Coturnix japonica: one gene and its partner. The protein of the gene in region 1 interacts with the protein of each later gene in a biochemical or structural test. Links are inferred from orthologs where the notes say so. Each region holds a gene or a part of one and is shown on either strand. Other genes may lie near its edges.

Region 1 (4,387 bases):
CAGGCTCTGGGACACAGTGTGGCACAAGGCAGCACGAGGGACACGGACTGTCCCTTCAGGGGGTTTTGCCATGGGGCAGAAACCACTGGGGCTTCTTAGTGGGACATCCTCCCAAAAAACACAATGCCACCCCTGTGCCACCTCCTGCCCCACCCCACAGCCCTTGGGGACACCACGTGAGACCATCCCTGGCTGTGACAGCTGGTAGCAGATGGTGGCACGGCCGCGCAGGGGCCCACATGGTCACAGCCCTCATCACGGGGGGAGGTGGGGAATGGAGCCAGCGTGGCTCCTGGGGCAAGAGATGTGCAGAGGGGTTGGGGCTGTGTGACAGGTGCCACCCAAATGGGGGAAAACACACGGGGCTGGAAGCACCATTGAGCAGCAGGGGACAAAGCCCAGCGCCCACCCATGTCCCCAGGCGCAGGACCTGCGCTCTGAAGGCAGATGCCCCGGTAATTCCCTCATCTGCAGCTCTAATTATATCAGCCCTGCTGCGAGCAGCAGCAGCGACGTGGGGCCCGGCACGTCGCCCTCAGGCCCAGAGAAAGGACATGGCAGCACAGTGCTGATGGGGCAGGTGCGTGCCAGCCCCATTACTGCCACATGGGGATGCAGCCACATCCCCCGTACCCACATTTGGGGCAGCAAACACTGAGGAATGGGGAGCACCGGGGGCACAAAGAGGGACGTGGCTCTCCTCAGCCTCACCCCGGGTGATGCCAAAGCAATGCTCAACACAGGGTGCATAGTAACAGCATTCTCCACAGCCCCACACAGCATGGGGCAGCTCCAGGGGCCCCATGTCTCTGCCCATGCTGCCTTGAGCCAGGGGCACCGATCACATCAGGGTGATTTACAACTCCAAGCCGGAAACGTTGGAAGCAATCGCTGAGCCGAGCTTTTTCCCCGTGCACTCCCTCACCCCAGAAAGCCATCAGCTCAGGGCCAGGGGCTCACAGCTCCCTCAGGCTCAGCCCTGCTGGCCCATCTGGCTCCTCTCATCCTAGCCTCGTGTCCTTCCTAATGACACAGCATCTTCAGATCCATTAAGGAGAGCTGCCTCCCCGATCGATACGCCCTGCTCATCAATAATGGAAGAGCAGCTGCCTGCCCTTGCTCTCCAGCTGCCTCCAGAGCCCCTCCATTTCCTACTGCACCCAATACAGCCACTCTCCTGGGGCGTTCCCAGCCTTGTCCCCAACCCTCCGCCATGATCACAGCTGGGGACCAGCACCAAGGCAGCGGGCCAAAGGGCCAGGCTGTTTCTTCCCTGCATGGGGCACATCCATCTCACTGTGCTGGCACAAGAGCCACTGCCAGCACTGCCCATCAGTGGCCACGTCTGCACCATCACCTCCGCCTCCAGGTCCAGCCTGCCCTTGGTGGCCCAAGCCACAGGGTGCCACAAAGGTGCCACCATGTCTCCTGTGCCCTGTGAGGGGCTTCAGGCAGGGATTGGGGGTCCCGAGGTTCCTAATCCTGCCCTGGATATCCCAATGGTACCAAGGTGACTCCAGGTCCCCTAGGGCCAGCCTTGTTCCACCACTGCACCCGCTGTCCCGTGCCCCCCCAGTCTGCTGAGACCCCCCCTTCACCATGCCCAATGTTCTGCCTCACACGGGTCCTACAGCATCCCCAACCACTCACTGTGCCCCACAGAGGTCCCACCGTGTGTCTTTCCATTTGCTGTGCCCCACAAAGGTTCCCTCCTACCCACTTCTAGTTGTGTCCCACACAGGTCCCACTGTGCGTCCATCCCCTCATCGTGCCCAGTCGGGTGTCCCCACACTTTTTCTGTGACTCACAAGGGTCCCGCTGGGTGCTCAAATTCTCACTGTGCACCACGGGGTCCCCAGAATCGTGCCCACCCATTAATGCCACGCACGGGTCCTGCTGTTCGCCCCAGGCGCAGCCCCCCCTCCCTCTCCATCCCCGCACCGCGCCCCACCGAGCACTATTCCGCACTCTCGGCGCGGCTCCCAGCCCCGCGCGAGGCCCCCGTTCCCTCGGCGGGACCCCCGCCCACCTCATCCCACCTCATCCCATCCCGTCCCGTCAGTTCGGGCCCCGCCGCCCCTCCCGGCACCGCACGCGTCGCTCCGAGCCGCCACGCACCGCGCCCGCTGGCCTTGATGAAGTGGATGGCGGTGTCGGGGCCGCCCTCGTCGGGGGAATAGATGTGGTGCCGGACGGTGAGGTTGCTGCCGTCCTGCAGCTCCTGAAAGACGCCCTCGATGGTGAAGTAGTAGGGCCGGTCGTCGGTCTTGCGGTCCACGTAGAGCAGCGCGGCGCGGGAGCTCCAGTTGAAGTGGGCGTGCAGGTGGGACACGAAGGCGCCCAGCTTGGGTGCGGAGGGCCCGGTGCGCACCGTGGTGCGGTAATGCTCCCGCTTCTCGCTGAAGCCCACGGCCACGGCGCCGGCGGTGATGAGCGGCAGCCGCCAGTGCGAGGCGAAGCGCCCCACTGAGGCGGCGGGGTAGACGCAGCCCGGCCCGAAGAGCACGTCGGGGTCGTGGTAGAGCTTCAGGTCCACGGCCTTCAGCGGCGCCACGTACTCGGAGCAGGCCCCCCCCAGCTCGGAGCTCATGAACTCGACGCGCACCGAGAAGGGCCGCGGCAGCAGCGGCGGATCCCCCCGCTGCAGCGCCTCCAGCGCCAGGCTCAGCGCCGGCTCCACGCGCGGCCAGGCCCACGCGTAGCTCACGTTGCGCTCCGGCAGCACCACGGCCACCGTCAGGTTGGCGCCCGCCCCGTCGGGGTTCGCCGCCCGCCGCCCTCCGCCGCCGCCGCCCGCCGCCGCCAGCAGCGCGGCCAGCACCAGCGGCAGCCGCGGAGCCATGGGCCGCGATGGCTCCTGCGCCCGCCGCCGCCCGCGGCTCCTCCGTCCGCCGCCCCGCCGCCTGCACCTCCCCCGGGCGGGGCCGCCCCGGGACGGGCAGCTCTCCCCCCCACCCCTCGCCGCCCCGCCCCGCGCCGCCCCCCGCCCTCGGCCCCTCGGCAGCCGCGGCGGGTGGTGGTCGCGCCGTCGGGGCGCGGGGTCTGCCCGAGCCGAGAGATGGGGAGCGGGCGCGTGGGTAGGGGGTGGGGGGTGTCGAGGAGAGAGGCAGAGTGCTGAGAGTTCTCAGCGCCTGGGGGAGTTGGGGAGGGGGCTGGGGGTGATGCGGTGTTTGCGTACCGGGGGTCCTCAGTGCCACGGAGGTCCGAGTTCTGGGTAGACCTCAGCATGGAGGGATTGGGGAGTTGGTTCCGGGTGCTGGGGGTTCTAAGCGCGGGGGAGAGGGGAGGGCGAGTAGGTTATGATGGTCGGGGTACGAGGGTGTCCAGCGTGGGGGAACTGGGGAGGGGATCTGGGGTGCTGGGGGTTCTCAGTATTGGAGAATCAAGAGGGGTGCCCAGGTTCTGAGGAGACCTGGACGTGGGGGTTGGGGAGGTGTTCCCGGGTGCTAATGTGCCACAAGACACGGAGGTCGGTAAGGGGTTGGGTGCCGGAGGTCCCCGTTATGGGGGGGGATTGGGTGTCCGAGTTCGGGAGTTTGGGGTGGAGACATGGTGCAGCGTGACGAGGTGGTCACTTAGGGGAAGTGGGAAGTAAGTACCCAAGTTCTGGGGGTCCCCAGCGTAGAGTGATTGAGTGCAACGTCCAAATTATCGGTCGTGTCCATCCTGGAACGGTTGGGAGGGGTGCACAACTCCTGGGGGTCCTCAGCATGGGGGGGGCACTGTGGAGATGGCCCTGAGTGCCCACAATGGGAGTCCCTTTGGATTTGGGGTGCGGGGTCCCACGGGGGTACACGGGGCAGGGACAGCCGGGCTCGGCGCAGGCAGGAGCGATAGGGGGGTCTGGCGGGGCCCCGCTGGGGGCAGCGTGCCCGCGCGCATTCCGCACATTCCGGGCCCCCCCACTCAGTGCCACGCGCCCGCCCCACGCGTGAACGCGGACAGAGGATGGGCGGGGGCGGGGGCGTGGTGGGGCTGCGTGGGTCCGGCTGCCCACACGGGGCCCGCGGTGGGGACACGGAAGCAGCGGGGGTCCGGGTCTCCTCCGGGGTATGTAGGGGGGGCTCCTCCTGCCGGTCCCGCTGCAGGTGTCCCCCGATGAGTGACACGTCGCCCCCCGCGGGGTTGGGTTACGGATATAAATACCCGAGGGCGGTGAAACCCGACCGGCAGCGGCGCGCTGGGGACCAAAACCTCTCCGAAAAGCAACAAAAACGAGCCTCGCTGCTGCTGCTCCTGATGTCGCCGTGCCGCCAGGGAGGGCCCGGCAGCGGCGGCCGTGTGCTGACATCGGACACTGCGGGGACACGGACAGGGACGGGAGGGGCTGCGCGCCGCACGTGGTGCCATCACTCGTACACCCACGCGTGGGCGGGGGTCCCGCAAA
Region 2 (4,496 bases), on another chromosome or scaffold:
GGTGCCGTGCCATCACTCTGCTGCTCTCCCCTCCCGGCCGGGCTGTGGCAGCGAGCTCAGGTGCTTCCATCGGGCAGAACTGGCTCCATCCGAGCACAGCAGCGCTGGGCACGACTTAAAGCACGAGGGATCAAAGCTTCCCCCATCACAGCCTTCCTCCGGCTCCTGCCTTCTCTAAAGCATCCCGACCATCTCTCGGCTCCATTCCAATCAATCAACCCGACGTTGCAGTTGGACGTGGGTTTGATAAATAAAGACATGTTACCAAACGGTTTTTCTTTCTTTTTAACCTTTTTTCCGGCTACTTAGGACAAAGAAAAAACAACAACCCCAGCAACGTGACAATGCTTGACTTCTCCTTTAGTTACATAAATAATTTCTTTATAAATATCTCTTTATAAACAATATATAAATAGCTTTACAACATAAATACATTTATGCATGACATGAATTTACAAACAGCAACGTTATACAGCCGGCTTCATCAGTCTCTCAGAAAAGCACTGTCCCTTGTCTCGGTGAGTGTTTGTATATATAATATAGAGAAGATAGAGAGCGCTTTTAAGGGGGGGGAACGGGGAGGGAAAAAGAACAACCGAAACAGCTGGTGGGTGCCGTGACTCCTCGTACCGAAAAGAAAAACACAGCCACATCTTTTGTCCGATCCTGGGGGGGTTTCTCTGCTCTTCCAGGCGGTGCCTGAGGGGCGGCCGTGCCCGGCCCTTGGGGGAACGACGGAGCTGCTCCGGTGCCCTGCGAGGAACGAAGGAGAGCCGTGAGCGCCCGCCCCGCATTGCCCAGCATTGACCCGAGATGCGACCCCGGCGGGATGTCCCGGGTTTGGGGTGCGGGTACGGAGCTCGATGCTGTGATACAGCGAGGGGAAATCTCGGCCCGCTCTTGCCGGGGTTGTGTGTTGGTGATGCTGACCGCTCGCCCCGGGGCCAGCAAGGACGGGAGCTCGCGGCTTTCTCGTCCTGCCCGCCGCGCTAAAGCTTTATGGGTACGGGGGGATCCGGGAGCAGAATGAGAACGGAGCTGGGATTCGGGGGGTCCTCCGGCCCAACCCAGCCGAAAGTTTTCGCTCCTCGCACCCGGCTGAGAAACCGCCCTGAGCGGAGCCGGGCGCGTGGGGTGAAAGTTCTGAGCAGAGCTTAAGGACACAGGGCGATGCCCCGGGGATGCCGAGAGCCGGTGCCGGCACCTGCGGGTCGCACAGCCGGGTGTCTGCGTCCGGACACAGCCCGGACCGGGGCGGAGCGGCGGCACCCTCGGTCCCCGACACGGCGGAGGAGCCGCGCTCATTGCCGCTGCCCATGGCCGCCCCGTGCCGCTGTGCTCAGCGGATCCCCCGCTGCTCGGCTCGGCCGGACTCGCACATCGCAGCTCCACGGGAACCACCCCCGGGGCAGCCCCGCCCGCCCCGCGCCCAGCACCGCCCTCGGGCCGCGCCGCGCACTCACCGCCAGGGGTCCCTCAGCAGCCGAGGCCGCTCATGGCTCCGATGCGGTCCAGCTTGAGGCCGAAGCAGCCCTTCCCGAGCCCCTTCTTGTGCAGCCCCTTATGGCGGCGGCCCGACGGCTCCTGCAGCAGCCGCGCCCAACCCGCTCGGGGCCGCGTCTCTGCCCGCGCCTCCCGCGCCTCCCGCGGCCCCGCGCCGCCTCCTCCGCCGCCTCCTCCGCGGTTCCGCTCCTTCTCCTTCTCCTTGTCCCGCTCCGCTCCCGCAGCCTCGGGCGGACCCGCCGCCGCCGCCGCCGCCGCCGCTGCTCCGCGGGACGCCTGCGGGGAGACGGGCGGTCACTGCGGGGCGGTCACCGCGTCCCGAGCTCCGCGTCCCTACCCCGCAGCGGAGCATCCCCCGCCGCCCCCCGCGGCCCCCGCTGGGTCAGTGCGGCCCGGAGCGGGGCTGGGGCGGAGCTCCCCCGGGCTGTGTGCAGGGCAGCCCCGAGATGGGGTCGGAACACCCCAAACTGGGCTCACCGCACCCCCCAATTCAAATGGCTGCGCCCCCAAACACGGGTCGCCGTGACCCTCCGCCTCCCACCAGCCCTCGGCCCCTTCCGATGTGGGGTGGTCCCGCTCCCCAGCTGCAGGGTCGCTGCCGCTCTGTGCTGATGCCGCTGTCACCCCACTCTGCAAAGTGGGGAACACCGGGTCCCCCGCTTTCCCAGCTCTGCCGCTCACACCTCATTAACACGCTCTGAGCACTCTCACTTCTGCGTCCTCCTCACTGCCTCCACTGTCCCGTCTGCGGCTGCTGCTCACCCCCTTCCTGCCCATCACGCCCCCCAGCTCTCCATGCCGACATCCCCCACCCACCCCCCCGCTGTCCGGCTCCGTGTGCCGTATCTCCGGTACAGGTGTCGGTGTCCTCCAGGACATCCCCGCTCCATCCCCGAGGGACACACAGGGTGCCCCCCATGGGCTCCGACCTCACACCTACACCCGGGTCTGACTCCAGCACCGCAGGGTGACGTGGGGACAGCCGTGTCCCCGCTTACTGTGGTCCTGCAGGGTGAGGACTCGCAGCGTCCTCTCCAACCACAGTTCTCCCCTACACGTGGGTCGGTGGTCTCCTACCACCCACAAAACCCAATGGGAAGGAGGACTCCGTAGCGCCATCCCCTCGCCCTAAGGACTCTATTGGGGCTCAGCAGCGGGGCAGAGGCAGCCCTACCTTCTGCGGGAGCTGGGACGCCGGCTTCGCCTCCAGCCCGACGGAGAGCAGAGCGAGCAGCAGTCCTCCGGCCAGCACGGGTGAGATCTGCATCCTGCAGTGCAGCGGGAATGGGGCCGGGGGGCAGCGGGGAGCCCCGGGGAGAGGCCGGGACGGAGGGAGTCAAAGTTCAGCGCGGAGCCGCGAGGTCCCTCCTGCCGCCCGCGCTGTGCCGAGCCACTGAACTTGGGCTTTCTGCTTCATTCATTTTATAACCCAACCTGCTCGGTGATGTCATCTAAACAACCAGGTCCAGCCCGGCCTCCCACTGCACAATAGCAGGAATTTAAAGGGGGGGTCCCCTCTCCCCTGGCAGGAACAAATGACACATCAGCCCAAGGCGATGGGCTCACAGAGCTGGAGAGCCAAAGAGGAAAGTGAGGGGCATTTGGCTGAGCTCCCCCAACCCCCCCCCCCGAGGGTGGCTGTCACCCCGTATCCCCCCACCCCACAGCCCCTCTGCTGCCCCCTCATCCATGCAGACCCCCAGGAGGGGCATGGGATGGCTGCTGCACTCCGCAGGGGGATCCTGGAGGGGGATTAAGTCCCAAAAGCAGAAATGAATGCGAAAAGCACTTCCCCGCCCCCCCCGCATCCAGGCTTCAATCAGAATGAAACTCTCAGACCCCCGTTTGCCAGGAGAGGGGGACACTGCTCTGCATGGCGGTGACACGGGGACACGTGGGAACAGGCTCACAGGTGGATGCTGTGGCTCAGACCTGGTCCCGCTCCCTGTCCCTGCCCTCCCGCTGGGGGTCGGGATGCTGCCCTCACCCTGGGGCAGTCACAGCTGCTTCGTCTGCAGGGTACGGTCAGTGTCACCCTGCCCTGCAAGGACAGTCCCCGTGCGATGTGGCTGTGAGCGCTCCCACCTGCTGCCGGGGCTGCAATGGAGGATGAGCTTTGGATGCTGGTGGCAGCTCAGGGCACGCAGCCGAGGGCAGGACTTAGGATTTGTGGTACCACCGTTGCTGCCATGCATGGCACCAGAGCCGCACCAACCCCATCCCTGGCGCCCTGAAGTGCAGGGATGCTCTTAGTGGTGCAGTGCCCCCAAATCCTATCCACGGCACCATGGAAAAGCTCCAGGCTCTCCCCAGGCTGGTGCTTTCCCTGTTCTCTGGGACTCCCCGGGGCTCTGCTCTGCCTCCAGCAGGATCCGAGCTCTTTGGGGGGCTGTGGTTTCCCCCCCTGCAGCTGCACTGCTGGGCACGGGCCGCCTCGCAGGGAACCATCCCTTCAGTTCCATGCGGCCGGGAGCTGGAAGGAGAAGGTCTCGGTGGTTTTTCCATTGTGCCTGCCAGGTGGAGACAACTTGGGCTTTTTGGAGCGCAAAGTTGCACTCGGGCACTCGGCTGCATGCAGGCAGATAAAGGCGATGGAGGCAGCATTACAGCCGGCCCCCCATGCCAGGTGACCACACGCACAGGCGTGGGGCACAGAGTTCCCTTCTGTATTTTGTGGGGCTCAGCCCCATGGGGAAGGATCCCCCCGTGGGATGAGGGGTTGCAGCCCTATGTCTGAGCATCCTGCACATGGCACAGCACAGCTGGATCTCACCACCGTGCTCTGCTGGGTTCCCGTGAGCATGTTTGCTTTGTCCCAACGCTTGCAGCCTCAGTTTTGGGGGCTGTGCTTTTAAAATCCAATTAGTGCTGTTATTCAAATCACCCTGCCCTTAACCGAAACCAGACCACATCCACCCGCACTGCTTCACAGCAGCAAAAAGCTCTCGGGTGGGGGGATGGAGGGGGAAGAAGGGATGGAGAAGGGGTTAAAA

The links.
Region 2: the proteins of NPR2 (region 1) and NPPC form a complex in vitro, tested with the Homo sapiens proteins (3 studies listed by BioGRID). The link is inferred for Coturnix japonica from reciprocal best matches to the Homo sapiens genes NPR2 and NPPC.

The regions. Positions count from the first base shown.
Region 1 is NC_029547.1:8,344,495-8,348,881, forward strand, and holds the start of NPR2 (atrial natriuretic peptide receptor 2), read right to left. Parts: upstream 2,871-4,387; 5' UTR 2,843-2,870; coding exon 2,119-2,842; intron 1-2,118. UniProt on the Homo sapiens protein: Receptor for the C-type natriuretic peptide NPPC/CNP hormone. Has guanylate cyclase activity upon binding of its ligand. May play a role in the regulation of skeletal growth.
Region 2 is NC_029524.1:13,423,950-13,428,445, forward strand, and holds the start of NPPC (C-type natriuretic peptide), read right to left. Parts: upstream 3,022-4,496; 5' UTR 2,771-3,021; coding exon 2,678-2,770; intron 1,780-2,677; coding exon 1,477-1,779; 3' UTR 1,464-1,476; intron 754-1,463; 3' UTR 1-753.